Stegostoma tigrinum: one gene and its partners. The protein of the gene in region 1 purifies or fractionates together with the protein of each later gene. This does not show direct contact. Links are inferred from orthologs where the notes say so. Each region holds a gene or a part of one and is shown in the gene's direction. Other genes may lie near its edges.

Region 1 (7,656 bases):
CTGCCTCTTTGTAGGTTACGTGGAACAGTCCCTCTTCCGCACCTACACAGGCCCCAAACCCCACCTCTTCCTCCGGTACATTGATGACTGTATCGGCGCCGCCTCTTGCTCCCCAGAGGAGCTCGAACAGTTCATCCACTTCACCAACACCTTCCACCCCAACCTTCAGTTCACCTGGGCAATCTCCAGCACATCCCTCACCTTCCTGGACCTCTCAGTCTCCATCTCAGGCAACCAGCTTGTAACTGATGTCCATTTCAAGCCCACCGACTCCCACAGCTACCTAGAATACACCTCCTCCCACCCACTCTCCTGCAAAAATTCCATCCCCTATTCCCAATTCCTCCGCCTCCGCCGCATCTGCTCCCACGATAAGACATTCCACTCCCGCACATCCCAGATGTCCAAGTTCTTTAAGGACCGCAACTTTCCCCCCACAGTGATCGAGAACGCCCTTGACCGCGTCTGCCGTATTTCCCGCAACACATCCCTCACACCCCGCCCCCGCCACAACCGCCCCAAGAGGATCCCCCTCGTTCTCACACACCACCCTACCAACCTCCGGATACAACGCATTATCCTCCGACACTTCCGCCATTTACAATCCGACCCCACCACCCAAGACATTTTTCCATCCCCTCCCCTGTCAGCTTTCCGGAGAGACCACTCTCTCCGTGACTCCCTCGTTCGCTCCACACTGCCCTCCAACCCCACCACACCCGGCACCTTCCCCTGCAACCGCAGGAAATGCTACACCTGTCCCCACACCTCCTCCCTCACCCCCATCCCAGGCCCCAAGATGACATTCCACATCAAGCAGAGGTTCACCTGCACATCTGCCAATGTGGTATACTGCATCCACTGTACCCGGTGCGGCTTCCTCTACATTGGGGAAACCAAGCGGAGGCTTGGGGACCGCTTTGCAGAATACCTCCGCTCAGTTCGCAACAAACAACTGCACCTCCCAGTCGCAAACCATTTCCACTCCCCCTCCCATTCTTTAGATGACATGTCCATCATGGGCCTCCTGCAGTGCCACAATGATGCCACCCGAAGGTTGCAGGAACAGCAACTCACCTGGGAACCCTGCAGCCATATGGTATCAATGTGGACTTCACCAGTTTCAAAATCTCCCCTTCCCCTACTGCATCCCTAAACCAGCCCAGTTCGTCCCCTCCCCCCACTGCACCACACAACCAGCCCAGCTCTTCCCCCCCACCCACTGCATCCCAAAACCAGTCCAACCTGTCTCTGCCTCCCTAACCTGTTCTTCCTCTCACCCATCCCTTCCTCCTACCCCAAGCCGCACCCCCAGCTACCTACTAACCTCATCCCACCTCCTTGACCTGTCCGTCTTCCCTGGACTGACCTATCCCCTCCCTACCTCCCCACCTACACCCTCTCCACCAATCTTCTTTACTCTCCATCTTCGGTCCGCCTCCCCCTCTCTCCCTATTTATTCCAGTTCCCTCTCCCCATCCCCCTCTCTGATGAAGGGTCTAGGCCCGAAACGTCAGCTTTTGTGCTCCTGAGATGCTGCTTGGCCTGCTGTGTTCATCCAGCCTCACATTTTATTATCTTGGAATTCTCCAGCATCTGCAGTTCCCATTATCTCTGCTCTATTGGTAGCTTAGCCAAATGCTTTGCCTCCATGTATATACTTATTTTTGGTCACTATGCAGTCCCACTCTGTGGAGAGAAAGCAGTTAACGTTTCAGATCCAGTCACTCATGTCCAGAACTGATTGTACCTAGGGAAAGATTGGTATATATGCTGAAGATGGGGTGTGGGAAGAAGGGAGGAGTAAACAATAGGTGGAGATGGAGCCCAGAGAGACGCAAAAACAGTTGGGCAGATAACGGAGGTAAAGGTCAGTGTGGGAGAATGAATAGCTAATAAGGGGGGCCATTAATGGCTGACCGTGGTTTGGTTTGTATCATGAAAAGGCCTGGTGTATGGGAGTTGGGGTAAGAACATGGGAGAGATGCTCAAGCCCCAAAATTGTTCAACTCAGTACTTTTACCATGCATTTATTATTTATTTGCAGATAGATCTCCATTTGATATGGGTCATGTGAATGTGTTTTTTTTGGCTTCAGTTTACTCACAATTCCTTTTGTCATGCCCAGGCTCACGATTGTTTGCCGTAATTTCCTCTTTCTGAAAGTCTAAGTAACCTATTATCCTGGAACAATTTTACTGGGTCAGCCAGTCTGTGATTTTGGTCTTGCTGAGTCAGTTGATTCTCACCTCGTTGAAATTGGCTATCCTGGAATTATGTCTATTCTGAATGTTCCCTGTTCTTTTCTACCATCACCTTACGATTTTATGAAAAGTTGGGGCAGGTAGGTTCAATCAGGCATTCAAGAAGGTGTTTGTTTACTATTTAAATGGGGTAATGGGGAAAGGGCAGGAGAATGGCACAAAGTCATGAAGCTTGTTTGCTGAGTGTTGGAGACACAATGTTTTATTACCTCCTTTCTGCGCCATAACAATCTGTTACCTTCAAATTTCCTGATCCTTTCGGTTCTCATCCTCCTGATCCAGACCCAGCTCTGCCTCCCTCCTCATCAAGGCGAACTGATCCGGAAACTTCCATCACTTTTAGAAATTATCGCCAGTCTCTGCCCCTCACACTATTACTGCCCCGGTCGATATTCTGGACAATCGTGTTGTCTCCTTTTGTCATTTTCCTGCGAATTTGTCCCGCAGTTTTAAGACAGCTCGACTGTCTCTGGTAATTTTAGGCGCAATCTAAATGCAGTTCGCTCCGAATGGAATGAAGAGCTGCGAGTGTGGGGGAAATCTGAGACAAAAACACGAATTGCTGGAGAGGCTCAGCGGGTCTGGCAGCATCTCTGCAGAGAGAGAGGTTAACGATTCGAGCCCAGTGACCCCCTTCCTCAGAACCGTTATTGGGCCGCCGTTGTTGTCAGGGGCGGGAAGCCGGTTGCCATGGTTTCCCGGGGGGGGCGGGAAGCCGGTTGCCATGGTTTCCCGGGGGGCGGGGCCGAGGGAGCTATGCCTTCCCTCGGATGGATGTCCCGTCCGGGCCTGAGGGATGAATGGGGCCGGCTCCAGGTCCGGGTCCCCCGCCTCCCGCGGGCGGACGCTGCTGGCCGAGAAGGCCGTGTCTGAAAGCTACGCCCGGCTCCGGTACCGAGACACTTCGCTCCTGATCTGGAGGCAGCAGCAGTTACAGCTGGAGCGGCGGACACTGGGCTCAGGCCCGGGCCCCGGACCCGACAGCTTCCTGGGCCGCAGCCACAGCATGTGGTACCGGCAGTTCGGCAATCAGCCTATCCTGGTCCGGGACAGGAACAAACTAAGCCCGGGGTCCTGCCCCGGCACAGGCCCGGTTCCAAATCCAGGCCGTTCCCGTATTTGCTCATTAATGTGAACTGGATCCGGATTCAGGACAAAACCGGGACAGAGTAGCAAACCCAGTAACAACTGGAGAAGCCATTCCAGTCAGTACCGGAACAACTACTGAAGATCACAGTGGGTCAGGCAGCATCCATGGAGTGAGAGCAACCTAACTTTTCGAGTCCAAATTTCAAGGCTGGAGTAACACCAACTATCATTAGCGGCTGCAGTATTTATGACCGACAGTAGCTCTGCAACCAGATTAACACCAAGACGACACATCTGGACCAATATGGGAAATGACAGTGTACATCCGTAGTATTTACAGATTTTCCTGGATTAATACCTCGCATAAATCTGTTTGGAGACGGGATCTATGCAGATTATCACTCTCTGTATTCATCCTCCCTGCAATAGTGTTGTTATTTATAAACTGATTTTATTTATGGATCAATGCCTGAGCTGGAATAGCTGGGTGTTTCAGACTGTGCATAAGAACAAATCCGTAGTAGAAACCCATCTGGGAGAATCAGAACTGGATTATGAGATTGACCCATTTTCCAGATGTGGGCTGGCCACTCAGGTGATGAGATTACATTGCGCTGTAGAGAATAAACTGTGTAAAAAAAGTGATAGAAGTTTTGTGTTAGAGTGGAATTACAGTATTCAAAGCCATTCTAATTGTGTTAACATTACTCCCTACTGAGCAAGGCTTGTTTTTAATTGACAATTTTATTCATACAGCACTTTTCACTGACATACCCCTCACAAATATTTTGTGCTGTGAATGATTTCCAGCTTCTTGAGCATGTGATTTTTTTAAAAAAATAATTCCACCAAATAGCTTCGGCTGCTTGTGCTCTGGGTTGAAACCTTTGTCTCTGCAGCTCTCTGTCCCTCCTTTAAGCAACTTATAACCTACCTAATAACTTAACATGCTCTATCAAATTTGATTTATTATCGTCAAATATACCTAGGTGCAGTGAAAAGTGATAACACAGTATGGAGCTGGAAAAATACAGAACATTTTCTGGAGAAAGGTCCCAACCTGAAACGTCAGTTTTCCTGCTCCTCTGATGCTGCCTGGCCTGTGTTCCCCCAGCTCCACATGGTGTTATCTTTGGCTCCAGCATCGGCAGTTCTTACTATCTCTTCAGTGAAAAGCTCTGTTTTTGTGTATCTGTTACAGGAAAGATGTTGCAAAACTTGAAAGGGTGTTACGTGTATGGAATGAGCTGCCAGAGGACATGGTAGAGGCTGGTACAATTACAAAATTCAAAAGGCATCTAAATGGGTATATGGATAAGAAGGATTTAGAGGAAAATGGGCCAAGGTTATTTTCGGATATCTGGTCGGCCTGAAGTTGATTGCATACTGTACACCTGAGTACAAGCAGTAAGTACATATGAAGTTCATAAGTTGATAGAACAAAATGAGCAATACAATGTTAAAACTGCAGAGGAGCACAAAAAGTGAGATCAACATTAAATTTGTGACATCCCTTCAAAAGTCTAATAACAGCAGGGAAGAAGCTGCTGTTGAACCTGATGTTACACATGTTTAAGCTTTTGTACATTCTGCCTGACAGAAAAGGTTAGAAGAAATTATAGCCAGGCTGGAGGGATCTTTGACGTTGGCTACCTTTCCAAAGCAACAAGAAGTGTAAATGGAGTATATGATGTTCCTATGAAGCACATGATTTTTTTTTGCTATGACTAGGTGCTGTACAAATGTATATTGGAGTTTCTGTTGGAATGCAGTTCTTTTTGTGACAACCTTTTTCTCCCAGCACTACCGTAAACCCAGGATTGTGCATGTTGGATAATATTTAGCTGATTCTGGGAGCTTAATGTCAGCAGGTGACATCCAATAGGCTTAAGGGTGACAATACAGCATTGTTTATTTACAGCATAGATACAAGTTGTCTCATCTCCACCAATGTTTCTGCTTCCCCTATGCTTCGTCCCACTCCTGTTCATTTAGATTAACCTTTTATTTATTTCTCCCTTATGTGTTTATCTACCTTGGCCTTGTATACATCTTATTCATTACAATGACTCCCTGCAATAGTGAATCACATTCTCTCTGGGTGGAGAGGTTTCTCCTGAATTCCCTTTTGGAATTATTAGTGATAGTCTTATATCAATGATCTCTGTTTCTGGTCAACCTGAAGTAGAAAAATCTTGAAGTCTAAGATGCTGAAGATACAAAACAAAAACAAAAATTGCTGGAGAAATTTGGCAGGTTTGGAGTATTTGTGGATGGAAAGCAGAGTTAATGTTTTGAGTCCTGTGCTGTGAAGAAGATTCTGAAGAAAGGTCATTTGACTCAAAATATTTAACCTTGAAGTCTACTCTCTTGACTCCCTTGGTAAAACAATCACAGAATTATTGATTTTACGATCCTTACCAATGGTACTGTGACTACAGGACAGATAGCTGAATTTGAGGAGGCAGTTTTCATGTCACTAGACTAATGCTCTGAGGACCTGTGTTCAATCCCAGCATGGCAGATGGTTATAAACAGAATTCAGTAAAAATCCGGAATAAAAAAACAGTCTAAAGGTGACTGTCAATTGTTTCAGAAATCCATCTGGTTCAGTAATGCCTTTAAGGATGGAAATCTAGTGTCCTTACTACTCTGTCCGACATGGCCAGACTCTCAGCAATCTCTTAATTACCCTCTGGGCAATAAATGGTGGCTTACTCAATGATGTCAGAATTCCATGAATTAATTAAAAAAGAAAAAGGGTCAGGCTGGGTACAAGAACTGTAGACTGTGAGACTACTTGACGCTGGGTACAAGAACTGTAGACTGTGAGACTACTTGACGCTGGGTACAAGAACTGTAGACTGTGAGACTACTTGGCCCATTATGCTTGTGGCAGCCTTGTTCGTTATACCTTGTTCTGCTCATCAAGCCTTTTTACATGTTTATCTTTCATATGGAAAGTTATCGTGCTTTCTACTGCAACATTTTTTTCTGATGTGGTATCCCATGAGATAACAGTTCCTGTGTAAAAAGACATTCTGATCTCTTGATTGTGATATTTTGCGCTATCTGGCTCCCTGGAGCTTTTCTTTACCAGTTTCTCTTTCAAAAAGCTTCAATAATTCTGAGCCACTCCAACCCACACACAGGCAGATAACTTCAACTTCTTGGGTCAAACAGTAAGAGTGCCAGCAAATAAAACTCCTGATTGTATAAATCCCAATAACTCTCTGTAGAGTCTTGCTATCCTTCTTACTATGACCTCTTCTAAAATCTGTACACATTGGACACTTTCTCTTTTCATTTGTAATTAGGAATGATTAGATTAGATTCAGTTCCCTACAGTGTGGAAACAGGCCCTTCAGCTCAACAAGTCCACACCGCCCTTTGAAGCATTCCACCCAGACCCATTCCCCTATAACCCACACACCCCTGAACACTACCGACAATTTAGCACGGCTGATCCACCTAGCTTGCACATCTTTGGACTGTGGGAGGAAACCGGAGCACCCAGACGAAACCCACGCAAACACAGGGAGAATGTGGAAACTCCACACAGACGGTCGCCCGAGGCTGGAACTGAACCCGAGTCCTGGCGCTGTGAGGCTGCAGTGCTAACCACTGAGCCACCGTGTCTTGATGAATAGGCATCCAAATGTATGAGGCCTGGAAATGAAATGGCTACTCCAGAACACTATCTATTCTGACTAGTAAACACCAAATGACACATTTATCTGCACTTGGCCCACAACCTACTGTGCCCTGGTATTTTAAGATCTCATTTAGATGCCCCTTAAATGTTGCAAGTACCTGCCTCCACCATCCAATTAGGTAGCACATCCATATTTTCCACACCCCTTACATGAAAAACATTTTTCTCATATCTTCTAAACCACTTTTACGCCCTCTGGTCTTAGACGCATCTGCCAAGGGGAAAAAGATTCTCATGATCTATCCAGTTTATGCCTCTCAAGTTTTTCGTTCCTCAATCGGACCTCCCCTCAGCCTTCTCAGCTCCGTGGAAAACAAACCTAGCCTATCCAGTCTCTCATAACTGAGATTTTTCATCACAGGCAACATCCTGGTGAAATGCCTCTAAACCTTCTCCGGCACAATCACATTCTTCCAATAATGTGGTGAACAGAACTGCACACACAACTGTAGCCTAACCCTTGTTTTTGTAAATATTCACAATTACATCAAGCTTGAGGCATCACAGGGATGATACTCTTCTGTACACAGCACCTAAGCCCTGTCCTGACTTGCTATTCCACCTTCACTTCCTTTTGTATTTTATCTT
Region 2 (7,670 bases), on another chromosome or scaffold:
GCATCAGCAAGGCATATTCCTACAAATCTACTCTGTCAGCTCACGACAGTCCTGATGTGATCACTTTCCTGAATTATTTTTCAACTAACCAACAACACCTTGGCTCATGGTTGAACCATTTCTGGGAAAATACTGAGTTTTAGTATCATCAAGATATTCACATAGCTTTCCAGATTTTGTAATTTTAGCAAGCTTCCATGTTGTCTTAAGAGGTCCTAGCTACTTTTCAGTCAAACACGAAAAATAGACTTCTCGAGAGAGATTAGTTTCTTTACCCACCTCCAAACCACGCAAGAGCATGATGAGTTCCTCTTTCGGGCTTGGCTAGCTTTTGTTTTATTTTGGAATCTGTGCAGTTTCCTTCACACTCCAGATTTCTTGGTTGTAGCTCTCCTTTGTATCCCTCAGCCTTAAGGCTTCTGGTCATAAGTTCCTTCCCGGGGAGAGCTAATTTCCTTTCTGGATTTGGTCTAAGCACATAGAGATATGGTTAATTCTTAACTGCTCTTTGAAATTGTGTAACAAACGATTCAATTGTTAGAGATTGTAGATGAAGGCCAGCCTTTCCAATGATGCCCATGTCCTGCAAGAGAATATAGAAAAAAAGCGACCTATTATAATAACAACAAGTGCTGCAAAATCTCAGCAGATCTGGCATCATCCATGGTGAGATAAAAACAAAGTTAATGATTCAAGTCAAATTTGACTCTTCAGAACTGATTCAATTGAGTTCTATGGATGCGCCCCTGAAGTTAAATGGAAAGACTGAAAAACCTGGGGACGTTCTCTTTATAGCAAAGAAGGTTAAGTGGAGATTTCATTGATGTGTTCAAAATTACTAATGCTTTAATAAAATAAATAAGCAAAAACTGTGGCAGAAGACTCAGTAACAAGATAAAATTTCAATATTTGCCAATGATACAAAACTTGCAGATGTGGAAGACAATGAAGAAGATACAAATAAACTGCAACAGGACACAGATAGGTCAGGAGAACAGACAAATACATGGCAGCTGGCAAATGGAATTTAATAGGGAGAAATGAGAAGAAGCCTTTTTAGAGAAGCAATATAAACATTACAATTCCAAACACTGTATAAGAATGTGAAAAGCATGAAGGTTCATATAGATAAATGTTTGAAGGAGGCAGGCATTTTGAGGAAATTAGTTGGAAAAATATGTAGAATCTTGTACTTCATAAATAGAAGTATCACCAGAATGGTTCCAGGAATTAGTTAAGGTGGAGAAACTGGGGTTATGGCCCTCAGTGCAAAAGGGATTGAGGTGAAATTTGATAAGAGGTACACAAGTGTATGACAGGATTAGAAAAGATAGACAAAGGAAAACTGCTCTACCTGATATTGTAGGGAGGATACAGATTTAGGGATTGTGACAAGAGGTGCAGGGGCTTGTGAAAAAAAAACTTTACAATATTGTGAACAGTAATGAGTAGGGCATGCTGTTCAAAAGAACCAGCCCAGGAGCAATGAGTCAAATGGAGACACGACCCAAAATGTCAACTTTCCTGCTCCTCTGATGCTGCCTGACCTGCTGTGTTCCTCCAGCTCCACACTGTATTAACTCTGACTCCAGCAGCTGCAGTTCTTGCTATTTCCTATCAATGAGCCAAATGGTTGTCCTTATTGTCTTTGCCGTATTTTGATTCTATGATTTAAATAGTTCAGGCATGTGTTCTGCAGGACATGGCTCCAATATACTGCAGCATGCTTCCTGCCTAATGTACTTGGGGCTTCAGCATCCATTCGACACAACAGTAACATACAGAAACTTAAAATTTCCAAGCCTTTGTGTCCTTTATTGCAGATTCAGCATTTGCAATCATTTTACAAGCTTTCCTTTATTTGTGAGAGTTAAAATTTAGCAATGCTGGACGATCATGATGATTAAATATAGTACCATAGAAAACAGGAGCAGGAGTAGGCCATTCAGCCTTTGAATCTGCTTCGCCATTCAATATGGTCTCGGCTGATAATCCAACCCAGTATATGTTCCCACTTTCTCTCCATACCCCATGATCCCTTGAGCTCTAAGAAGTTTATCTCATTCGTTCTTGAAAACATTCAATGTTTTGACCTCAGTTACTTGCTGTGACAGAGAATTCCATAGGCTCACCACTCTCTGGCTGAAGGAATTTGTCTTCTCAGTCAAAGCATGAAAGGATAAATAATACAAACAAACGTGAAAAAAATCTGTTATGAAGTTGAAGTTGGGAGTAGAGAATAATTCCAATCATTGCTTTAGTTTTTCCTGATAGCTGTGATTTCTTTGAGTAGTTGTTCCTTTTGAGAGTTTTTCTACCATAATCATTTGTTTCACATCTGTAATGCATGATATCATGTGACCTACACTTTAATTGCAGGTCCAAAACGGCATCCTTTTGAATTTGAGTTATAACTTTGCCTTAGTAACTGATTCATTGTAACCATAAGGAACAGGCTATGATTTAAGGGGGTTATTATTTGGACATGATCATAAAATCACAAGAGACTTTTGGAAAACACAGCTTCATGAAATAATATTGGTGGAAAGCATTTATTAAAATATTTTTAAAACATGATTCGGCAACATCCAACGATCTGGTGCAACAATATTAATGCTTGCCTCTTCCGACAGAAACCGTGTTCCCGTTATACCATTTTTGACCAGGATAAGTTATGGGGCTATAACACATACTAATTTTGCTCTATTTTAAAGAAAGGTGGTAAATAATTCCATTTAGAAATGGGTACATTCCGTATCCGTTGTTGTCTGGAGGGGAGGGGTACAGGGAGTGATTTTTTTTCCCACTTTTGGTCGATCTCACCACTACCAATATGGCCTTGTCCCATCAAGCGAAAACTTTAAAATGTACCAAATGTTGTCATCACGCATCCAAAATAAATCAAATCCACTTTTTGAAACACTTCGTCATATCTGTAATATACAAACGTGAAATGAAACGGTAACAATTGAGAGCAGTCCCCACGGTGATAGATTTTCCCTGATATATTGCCTTGTATTCACCAGCTCCAACTAAAAGATTACAGAAAACACATCTGCCATGTGTGTGGTCTGGGAAGTCGGGCCGGTTAAACATATCTTCAGGGGAACCGCCATTAGCTACCAAAATGATTACTGTCTACAAGGATTTAAGAAAGCTCGGAAAGAGTACGTTTGCAGACTCTTCCTTAATAAAATTACTTTGTTTTATGGCTTGAGATGCGATACAATTCAGGGAAAGGGTGGAGAACTTCAGCCGTTAAACAATGTGATGAAAACTTTCCCTTCCTCAAACTCAAATATTGTGCGGTACGGTGTTCAGAATAATAACAAAACCACAGTTTACGTTTACACTGTTAAAACTTTGGAAAAATCTGTACGTTTATGAGTTTATGCACTTACATCATGGGACGCTTTCTCGCATGTTACCTGCAACTCATGTTTTTTCTGAGCGATTCTATCATTTTCTGTGAAATTGTTGTCCTGACTCGTGCAACGATATTTAACTACCTCGTGTCGAGCCGGTGAGTTAAAAGATAGGGAGACAGGTAAAACCGTGACCTGACCAAAGCATCATGAACAACGAACCACAAATTCTTCACAAGATCTGAAACATTTGAAAGACGGACAGAAAATACAGGAAATACTCAGCAAATCCGGCAGTATCTAGGGACAGAACCAAAGTTAATGTTTCAAGTCGATGATGTTTGACCAGAACAAATACTTACTCGTTTATTATAAAAATAATACATTTCTGTTCTTTTGTTCGGACCAATTTTCACACTTATTCTAATCAATATTTCTAAATTATTCCTCAGCGATTGGGCATTGAGCGGTTTTAATTACCTTTCTTATTGCAATGAGAGAAGATTTTAGGGAGAAAATATAAGGTTTTTTTTCTTTTTGCAGCCTGATTTCAAATATTGCAATGTATCTTTTACTGACTGTACCCTGAATTCATTGCTGCGGGGTTCCTTTCCTATTGAGGGCCTGGAATTCAGGTGCTTTCTGGTTTGTAATGGGTAACAAGGCACAGAGCAGGATCATCAGAATCCCTACATTGCAAAGAGGCCATTTGGCCCAACAAGTCCAGAATCAAATCCCGGTCCCAGGCGCTGTGAAACAGCAGTGCTAGCCACTGAGCCACAATGCCGTCCCAGTGCAGTCTTCACTCTGCCTTTTCAGTCCCGTTTTAAATACACCGTCCCTTATGATAGCACGGAAACCGCCAGTACAGACAGCAACTTCCCAAATGGAGTAGAGTGTAAGTTCGCCCCTTCATGTGGCAAACGTGATGGGATCGCCCTGTGAGGCGGCTGGAAGCAGTGAAGATCACAGATGACAGCGGGGAGGGAGACAGGGAGGCTGGGGAGAGAGAGATGGGGAAAGTGGGGGGAGGGAAGAGAGAGGGAGAAGAGGGAGAGACAGAAGAAGGCAGGGATTGGGGGCGGAGAGGTGAAATCACTGAGGTCGGTACCGTACAAACTGTACCACCGCGGCTGGGTTTGAGGTGAAACCCAATCTAAGTTAAACATTACACTCACAATTCTCCCCCACCCCCCGCCAGGGGCCCGGGAATGGACTCCGCCCCACGTGACGTGAGCGGTCACGTGCGCAGCAGGAAAAGTTGTGAAAGTCGCTGCAAACTTTCCCCGCGGGTGGGGGGGGGGTGGAGGTAAAAAAAAGGGAGTGCGCGCGCCACACACGGCTCTGAGGGAGAGAGCGCGAGCGGGCTCGGGTTCACCGGGCGGGCGGAGAGTTCCAGAAGGTTCCACTCGTGGAGCGCGTCGATGTGGGGCTGGAAAAACCTGCCGTTATCACCGGCCTGAGAGAAACCTCCGGTAGGGAGTGAGGGGGCTGGCTGGCTGACTGAGGGAGGGCACCAGGCGGGTGGCACCGGGACGCGGCAGTACAGGGACAGGCCGGTTTGGCCCATGGATCCGAGTCAGCAGCAGCAGCAGGGAACCGGGACGGGGCCGGGGGCGGCGGTGCCTCGGGCCGGCCACCAGATCGTGCATGTCCGGGGGGACTCGGAGACCGACCTGGAGGCTCTCTTCAACGCCGTGATGAACCCCAAGAACTCGAACGTGCCGCAGTCTGTCCCGATGCGGCTCCGCAAACTTCCCGACTCGTTCTTCAAACAGCCCGAGCCCAAGAGCCACTCCCGCCAGGCTAGCACAGACGGGCCGAATGCTCCGCCGCTGCAACCCCAGCATGTGAGGGCTCACTCGTCGCCGGCCTCCCTCCTCAGCGCCGCCGCTACCGCCGCCGCTCCCCCCGCCTCGGGGTCCTCCGGCTCTTCGGGCTCGGCCTCGCCCGCCGCTGCTGCAGTGTCCCAGGGAAGCGGCTCCTCCCCGGCCTCCGCTCACCTCCGCCAGGCTTCCTATGAGATTCCCGACGATGTACCTCTACCTCCGGGCTGGGAAATGGCGAAAACCCCCTCGGGCCAGCGATACTACTTAAAGTAAGTGATTCCCAGTTTATGTTCTCACCTCCCCCCGCTCCCCTTTTTAAAAAAACAAACCCTGTCCCAGGGATTGGGGGGGGGGGGGTGCAATGTGTTTGTTTCCAATTTAATTTGGGAAAAAGGCCAGCGGATCAAATTGCAACGGTGGGATAATCAGCCCTTGGTCCTCAGGATTGTGTTTGAAGTTTAGGAGTGTAAGTTCAGCCAACATCATTCTCACTTTGAGTGCCATGTTGCTGGGTGAAACTATTTCCAGTGTAACTTTACGTCCCAAATGCCTAAAAGAAATTACTATGTTGTAACTCTCGCCCAGGCATGTGTGTAGTAGTGACAGGATTTGATTCAAATCCGAACTGCTGAATGTGACAGGAACCGAAATCTTTGAACTGCAGCATCGTCGATCCTGGTATCGGAATGTGGTGAAAAGGAGCTGGTTTTGTTGTGGCTTGGTTATAAAGCTGCTCATTTCCCGTGGTGACAGGCGCCTGAACTTTGAAAGTTTGAAGGGAGACCTGAGAGAGTGCAGAAGCCTGCTTGCAATGCGGTGGGCAAAGTTCACGCCCGCCTTCTGCAATCCCGAGTGTTTCATGGTGAACGGGGGCCGTCCTTAAAACTTAAAATAAAATCCATTCACTGAGACAGTTGTCCTTGAGCAGTTAATTCATTTGAATGTGGAGGTGATGTTAAATTTAAATATTTAGTTGCCACCATCGCTGGAATGAGTGGGTTACTGGATGCACTTTGTATTTGACCAGCTTTGTATTTGGCGACACCCGTTCCATGCACTTACCCGGACTTTCAACTTTTACAATGTTTGAGTTTCGTTGATTTCGTATTCCACTAGCTCATTCCAAGATTTCAATCCCACAAAATACCGTTCATGTTTTAAAGTTTCGTTTCGTTTGTGTATTGTAAAAACAAAGTAAATTCATCTTTACGCAGAGAGATGGTTTAACAGTTGATTTTTTTTGAGAAAGACGTGTGATGTTATGGTTTTGAAAGAATAAATAAAAGCAGTGCGATCCGAACACACATTTGTGGAAATAGTTTTCCGTTTGATCCGATTTGAGGGAAGCTGAAATTTGCACAAAGTTTCACCCCCCCCCCGCCTCCCCGCGGCGAGGCTAGGCAGCGAGCAGTATCCATTTCAGAGTGTCCTATTACTTTGGGAACAATAGTACTCTGTCGTGGTCCGACTGTGCAAAAGTCCACATGTCTGGCAAGAGTCACTGCAGTGGGTCCAACGTTTGTTCCCTTGCAGACGGCTAGAGTCAGTTATTGAAGCAACGGCATGTTGACCGGGATGTTTCTTTGAGCAAAAGAGTAACGTGGGAAGTCGGGACAAAACCTGTTTGTAAAGTTTATGCACTTTGTAACCCTTCTCCCGCCTCGCGGGGGGAGGGGTTAATAGTCCCCGGAGGAGCCCGGTGAAGTACAGGCCCTTCGGCCGTCGATGTGGCGCCGATCTGTGAAACCAATCTGAAGCCCATCTAACCTACACTATTCCATTATCATGAACAGTAATATTTCTTGTGCCATGATATCTCACTTCTGGATAGAATTGTGGGAAAATTAAAAATCCATCACATCAAAGACTAAAAGTTCAATCTCATTATTTAAAGATCAGTTAATAACTCTGCATTTACGTAGCACCTGTGACGTTCCTGAAATAATATACGGCCACTAAATTACAACGCAATCAGAAGCAAATACTGCAGATGCTAGTAATGTAAAATGAGTGACCATGTCTTCGATAACATTAAGTACCTCATCACAGACAAACAACCTTGTAGCTGGTGTTTAATTACAACTGAATGGTCTCAAATGGTTACCCTAAATGGCAATTTTTAATTGTTACGGTAACATTTACCGCTGATCTGCCATTCCAATCAGGCCTGACTGCAACAGGTTAATGAGTTGTAAAGTGTGCAAGTTTGCGGGTATACATAGCTCAATGTATTATTGAGTTTTTGCAAGTCGGGTTTACTTCGAACTGTTGCACTAGGTTTTGCCCTTCTTGCTAGCCGTCACATTGTTTACAATTCTCTACAGTCATGTCTTTTAATCAATTCAGATACATCTTAAAACAAATCTTCTCAGCATCTCGATGCACCAACCACTCCAAGTCTAAATATTTAACTTGACTTATTATTGTCATGTATCAAGATACAGTGAAAAGTATTGAAGCTGTGCTTGAATCTGTT
Region 3 (6,940 bases), on another chromosome or scaffold:
AAAAGGGTTTGATTTTCAGAGGTTATATGAACTTGGTTTGCCTTTCCCTGGATGAATAAGATTGAAGAATGATCAGATAGAGATGTTTAACATTTTAATAAGATTCAATAAGGTAGATCGGTGATATAATTCCTTATGGAAAATCAAGAACAAGAAGATATAATTTAAAATCTCAGCTGGGCCATTTTGGACTGAAATCAGGAAGCCTTTTTGAAATACCAAGGTGTAGAGCTGGATGAACACAGCAGGCCAAGCAGCATCAGAGGAGCAGGAAGGCTGATGTTTCGTGTCTAGATCCTTCTTCAGAAATGCTTTTTTGCAGCTGAGGCGAAGGGATTGGGAATGGGGGATGCCATTTTTGCAGGAAGCTGGGTGGGAGGAGGTGTATTATAGGTAGCTATGGGAGATGTTGGGCTTGACGTGGATATCGGTTTCCAGGTCGTTGCCAGAGATGGAAACAGAGAGGCCCAGGAAAGAGAGAGAAGTATCAGAGATGATCCAGGTGAACTTAAGGTTGGGATGGAAGGTGTTGGTGAATTGAATGAACTGTTCGAGCTCCTCGTGGGAAGCTCCCTCCATAGGACTGGGCATCCTGGACAGTCATATGAACCCCTCAAGCTTGATCTGCCGTTAGATAAGACCATGGCTGATTTGTTGTTTAACTCAATATGCCTGCCTTTGGCCCATGTCCCTTAATAACTTTGTTCAACAAAAATTGATCAATCCAAGACTTAAAATTAATAATTGATCAAGTATCAAATATCATTTGTGGAAGAGAATTCCAAACCTCTACCACCCTTTGAGTATAGAAGTGCTTCCTAACATCACTCATGAATTGTCTGACCCTAATTCTCAGAATATATCCCTAGTTCTAGAATCCCCAATCAGTGGAAATAGTTTTTCTTTATGTGTTGATTTGATTTATCATTGTCACATGTATTGACATACAGTATGCTAACCAGACAAATCATAAATTGTGTATGTACATCAGGGTAGTAGAACATAATACAAAATATAGTATACAGCTACAGAGAAGAAGCAGAGAAAGCTCAACTCTGATATATGGGAGGTCCATTCATATGTCTGATAACATCAGGGAAGAAGCTGTTCTTAAATCTGTTGGTATGTGTTTTCAAACTTTCGTACAGTCTGCCAAATGGAAGAGGGTGGAAGATATTATAATAGAGATGAAAGAGGTCTTTGATCATGTTAGCTGCTTTCCCAAGCCAGCAAGAAGTCTAGACAGAGTTAATGGAAAGAGTGCTAGTTTCCATGATGGACTGGGTTGCATTCAGAACTCCTTGTAGTTTCTTGCGATCTTGGGCAAAGCAGCTGACATACCAAATTGTGACGCATCCAGATGGGCTGCTTTATTTGGTGCATCGATAAAAATTGGTAACAGCCATTATGGACATGCCAAATTTCCTTAGCTTTACCTCCCCTGTCTTTTCCTGTTACTATCTTGAAGGCTTCAATCAGATCACCCTTTGACATCCTAAATGTGTGTAATCATGCCTCATAACTTAAACCCTAAAATACAGGTATTATACAAATCCAATAAATGACAACAAATTCAAAATTAAAATAAAACAGGAAAATGTTGCAAATATATTCAGTACTCAAACCGAATATATTAACATCCTTTCTCAAAGATTGACTGCTGACCCAACCTGCAGCTCATCCTCAACATTGTGTTATTTACTTCTGGAACTTCACATCTGCATAATGAAATGAGGATTTTGTAGGGATTTACGACACAGAAACAGGCTATACAGCCCACTCGGACTAGCTCTACAAGATTTGCCCTTCTTCAGAACCACATTCCACAGCGAGTCTTATCATTGAATACTTTTATAATAGCAGGCACATTTCTGATCTGCTTCTGCAAAGCATAGCCACGCTTCAAAGTTTCACTTTGCACAGATTTCCCCTGAAGATCAGAAAAATACATTTGGCATCATGTCTATGTCTGTCCTTCAGCGAGCAATCAAACCCCACTGTATCCATGTAAAGGAGATAATGGGAACTGCAGATGCTGGAGATTCCAAGATAATAAAATGTGAGGCTGGATGAACACAGCAGGCCAAGCAGCATCTCAGGAGCACAAAAGCTGACGTTTCGGGCCTAGACCCTTCATCAGAGAGGGGGATGGGGGGAGGGAACTGGAATAAATAGGGAGAGAGGGGGAGGCGGACCGAAGATGGAGAGCAAAGAAGATAGGTGGAGAGGGTGTAGGTGGGGAGGTAGGGAGGGGATAGGTCAGTCCAGGGAAGACGGACAGGTCAAGGAGGTGGGATGAGGTTAGTAGGTAGCTGGGGGTGCGGCTGGGGGTGGGAGGAAGGGATGGGTGAGAGGAAGAACCGGTTAGGGAGGCAGAGACAGGTTGGACTGGTTTTGGGATGCAGTGGGTGGGGGGGAAGAGCTGGGCTGGTTGTGTGGTGCAGTGGGGGGAGGGGATGAACTGGGCTGGTTTAGGGATGCAGTGGGGGAAGGGGAGATTTTGAAACTGGTGAAGTCCACATTGATACCATATGGCTGCAGGGTTCCCAGGCGGAATATGAGTTGCTGTTCCTGCAACCTTCGGGTGGCATCATTGTGGCAGTGCAGGAGGCCCATGATGGACATGTCATCAAGAGAATGGGAGGGGGAGTGGAAATGGTTTGCGACTGGCAGGTCAGTTCGCAACAAACAACTGCACCTCCCAGTCGCAAACCATTTCCACTCCCCCTCCCATTCTCTTGATGACATGTCCATCATGGGCCTCCTGCACTGCCACAATGATGCCACCCGAAGGTTGCAGGAACAGCAACTCATATTCCGCCTGGGAACCCTGCAGCCATATGGTATCAATGTGGACTTCACCAGTTTCAAAATCTCCCCTTCCCCCACTGCATCCCTAAACCAGCCCAGTTCATCCCCTCCCCCCACTGCACCACACAACCAGCCCAGCTCTTCCCCCCCACCCACTGCATCCTAAAACCAGTCCAACCTGTCTCTGCCTCCCTAACCGGTTCTTCCTCTCACCCATCCCTTCCTCCCACCCCAAGCCGCACCCCCATCTACCTACTAACCTCATCCCACCTCCTTGACCTGTCCGTCTTCCCTGGACTGACCTATCCCCTCCCTACCTCCCCACCTACACCCTCTCCACCTATCTTCTTTGCTCTCCATCTTCGGTCCGCCTCCCCCTCTCTCCCTATTTATTCCAGTTCCCTCCCCCCATCCCCCTCTCTGATGAAGGGTCTAGGCCCGAAACGTCAGCTTTTGTGCTCCTGAGATGCTGCTTGGCCTGCTGTGTTCATCCAGCCTCACATTTTATTATCTTGTATCCATGTAAAAATGAGTTAATTTCCTTTAATTGCCTAATCATTAACTGAAACTTACACCACCCTTAACAGCTGCATTGATAATGTAATAGAGTCTAAGTGATATTTTAAATAGTTACTTTTACATCCCGGTTTGTTAAACTCAAAGGAATGTTTAATATTATCATCTAAAAGCATCATTAAAAATTGTGCTCAGGTGAAAAATCTTAAAATTAGAAATGTGAATTTCAAAATATCTGGGTAAAAAGTTCTTCCTCTAACATTGAAATAGTGATTGTTTTTTAAAAAAAACAGAATTCTTTTTCAGTACAAAACATTTTCACTAAAGTTTGAACATGAGGTGAACTATTGGTAACAAAATTCAGGCCGAAGACCTAGTGATTGACAGATATGCTATCCAATCGGAATTGGGAATGCCCAAAGGACAGCCAATAGTTCGAGATGACCCTCGTGTCGGCGGCTGCGGCGGTCCGCCCCTTAACGACGGGCAGGAGGTTACCGCCCACTGAGCTTGCTGATTCGGTGTTGCAATGATGGTTGGTTTATTGGCCAGTAGGATGAGGGGATATTCTGATTGACGTGCTTCGTATCCAATCGGTGAAGGGCTGGGCGTTGCTGTCCTCCATCGAGGTCGGTAGAGCGATGTTTCCTCTGGCCTCTTGGTAACACGCGCCGCGGGCTTCAGGTGAGGAAGAGGCCGAGGCCTGCGCTAAGGCCGCACATTCACAGTTCACCATGAAGATCGAAGAAGTCAAGAGCACGACCAAGACCCAGCGGATCGCCAGCCACAGCCATGTGAAGGGGCTCGGTTTAGACGAGAACGGCCAGGCCAAGGTGGCGGCCGCCGGGCTGGTTGGCCAGGAGAACGCCAGGGAGGTGGGTGAGGACCGGCTCGGGCCTGGGGATCACAGAAAGCAGGGCATCTCCATTCCACAAGACTAAGTCTTGATGGGCTGAAGGGCCTAATTGTGCTCCTGTCACTTATGGAATACAGTTCTATGTTCTAGAAATCATAGCACAATTAGGCCATTCCGCCCATCGAATCTGCTCCACCTTTCGATCATGGCTGATATGTTTCTCAATCATACTTTGCTGTCTCCTCCCTGTGACCCTTGATCCCCCTTACTAATCAAGAAACTATCCATCTCTGTCTTAAATATTCTTAATGACTTTGCCTCCGGAGGCTTCTGCAATAATGTGATCCACAGATTCACCACCCTTTGAAAAAATTCCCTCATATCCCAGTTCTAAAGGGTCACCCTTTCACCCTGAGGTTGTGCCCTTAGTCCTTAGTCTTTTCTACTAATAGAAATCTGTTCTCCAAATCCAGGCATCTCAGTATTCTGTAAATTTCAATCAGGTCAATCTCCTCATTCTTCTAAATTCCATCTAGTACAGACCCAGTGTCCTCAAGCACTTGTCACAGGACAAAATCTTCACCCTTAAGATTATTCTTGTGAACCAAATCAGAAATTGCTGGAAAAACTCAACAGGTTCAGCAGTATCAATGGAGAGAAAGCAGTGTAAATGATTCAGGTCCAGCAACCGTCCTTCAGAGCGCTAAGGATCTTAACTCTGCCTTCTCTCCACAGATGCTGCCAGATTTGCTGAGTGTTTTTTTTGGCAATTTCTAATTTCCAGCATCTGCAGTTTATTTGTTTATTATTCTTGTAAACCTCCACTAGACTTCTCCAATGCCAGCACGTACTTGTGTAGGTAGGGGGCCCCAGACTTAATTCTTTATTCATTTACAGGATGATGGCATCGCTGGCTTGGCCAGCACTTATTGACCAGAGGGCAGTTAAGAGTCAGCCACGTTGCTGTGGGTCTGGTGTCACATGTAGGCCAGACCAGGCAAGGATGGCAGTTTTCTTCCCTACAGGATATTAGTGAACCAGATGGGTTTTTCCAACATTCCACAATGGATTCACGGTCATCATTAGATTTTTAACTCCACATATTTATTGAATTCGAATTCAACCATCCGCTGTGGCAGGATTCAAACCTAGGTCCCCAGGATGATACCTGGGTCTCTGGATTAAGAGTCCAGCGATAATACCACTAGGCCCTTGCCTCCCCCGAACTGCTCACAGTATTCCAAATGTGGTCTGACCAGAGTCTTGTTCCGCCTCAGCATTACATAGAGTCCTGGAAATGTACGGCGTGGAAACAGACCCTTCTGTCTGACTCATCTATGCTGACCAGATATCCTAACGGTCACATTTCCCAGCGTTTGGCCCATACCCCTGTAAACCGTTACTGCTCATATATCTATCCAAGTGTTCTTTAAATGTTGTAAATTAACATTTCTGCCCTTGTATCCTAGCCCTGTTGAAATGTATATGAATATTGCATTTACTTTCCTATCTGCTAACTGAGCCTACATGTTAACTTTCAGAGAATCCTAAACTAGGACTTGCAAGTCCCGTTGTGCTTCAGGTTTCTGAAGCCTTTCCCCAGTTAGAAAATATTGCCTATGCCTCTACTTTTCTTGCTAAGTACATAACCTCACACTTCCCCACATTGTATTCCACCTGCCACTTCTTTGCCCACTCTGCCCCAAGTCCTCCTGCAGCCTCCCCACTTCCTTGACGTTAGTTGTTCTTCCACCTATTTTTGTGTCACCTGGAAACTTAGCAACAGTACATTCAGTTCCTTTATCCAGATTGTTGCTGTACAACGTGAATGGTTGTGGTCCCATAGCCTGCTGCAGAACTCACTAGTCACCATCCTGAAAAAGACCCCTTCATCCCCAAAATGCTGCTTGGCTGCTGTGTTCATCCAGTTCTGTGCTTTGTTACCCCAAATCCTTCAACCCCATGGTCTGTTTACTCCCTCTCAACCAATCCTCTATCCATGGTCCTTGTGCCATGGGTCTTATTTAGGAGCCTCCTGTTTGGCACCTTATCAAAGGCTTTTTGGAAATCCAAATAGATCATGTCCAGTGACTCTCCTTTCTCTAAATGTTCCCTGATTTTCACCCTTTCCTTTTCCCCACCCCCAGGATCCCCCCTCCTCCCCTTTCCCCCCTCTTCAATCACCCCTCCCCATGCCCGTCTCCTCAATTCCCACCCTCACTCCTTCCATCTGCCCTCTCTTCCCCTACCTCTATCGCTACCTCCCACTCCCCCCATCTGCTCACTCTTCCCCTATTCCTACTCTTAATCACCCCCCACTCTCTCCCCAACCTCCCACCCCAACTCTTCCCCCCCCCGACTTCCCACCCCTCCCCCACTAATATCATTGCTCCTTCCTTGGTTGAGTAAACCTGCGCACCACTCATTGCAGATGCAGTTTTAGACTTTTCTACTTTGTTTGATTCAGTCATTCTGTTCTTCTAATGGAAAGGCCACCTCTGTGTTAGCCTTTGGATGACTGTCTGTACCTCTTCAACATTTTAATCAACGATGTTTCCAGACATTTCATTTTCCATTTTAGCTTGCTGAGAACATCTTTAATTATCTAAAGGTATTTATTAATTGTTCAGCTTTATCTGTATTTAAAAAGCGACATTAATTGCGTAAAATTAATTGTAATTCGTGTATGAACTGTAAAGTTTGACAACTCTCAAGTTTAGCATGAGTTAATGTATCATGAATGTGAGTGGAGAATTG

What was found. Proteins that work in one complex are often made in the same cells at the same time.
Region 2: the proteins of wdr5 (region 1) and yap1 purify together in Homo sapiens (affinity purification with mass spectrometry; 3 studies listed by BioGRID, with this or other methods). This does not show direct contact. The link is inferred for Stegostoma tigrinum from reciprocal best matches to the Homo sapiens genes WDR5 and YAP1.
Region 3: the proteins of wdr5 (region 1) and ruvbl1 purify together in Homo sapiens (affinity purification with mass spectrometry; 3 studies listed by BioGRID and IntAct, with this or other methods). This does not show direct contact. The link is inferred for Stegostoma tigrinum from reciprocal best matches to the Homo sapiens genes WDR5 and RUVBL1.

The regions. Positions count from the first base shown.
Region 1 is NC_081382.1:45,448,698-45,456,353, reverse strand, and holds the start of wdr5 (WD repeat-containing protein 5), read left to right. Parts: upstream 1-4,643; 5' UTR 4,644-4,760; exon of another isoform or gene 4,761-6,075; intron 6,076-7,656. Other genes in the region: putative uncharacterized protein BRD3OS, read left to right, coding at 3,061-3,399.
Region 2 is NC_081359.1:1,795,069-1,802,738, forward strand, and holds the start of yap1 (transcriptional coactivator YAP1), read left to right. Parts: upstream 1-4,668; 5' UTR 4,669-4,933; coding exon 4,934-5,463; intron 5,464-7,670. UniProt on the Homo sapiens protein: Transcriptional regulator with dual roles as a coactivator and corepressor. Critical downstream regulatory target in the Hippo signaling pathway, crucial for organ size control and tumor suppression by restricting proliferation and promoting apoptosis.
Region 3 is NC_081364.1:5,187,434-5,194,373, forward strand, and holds the start of ruvbl1 (ruvB-like 1), read left to right. Parts: upstream 1-3,938; 5' UTR 3,939-4,061; coding exon 4,062-4,202; intron 4,203-6,940. UniProt on the Homo sapiens protein: Possesses single-stranded DNA-stimulated ATPase and ATP-dependent DNA helicase (3' to 5') activity; hexamerization is thought to be critical for ATP hydrolysis and adjacent subunits in the ring-like structure contribute to the ATPase activity.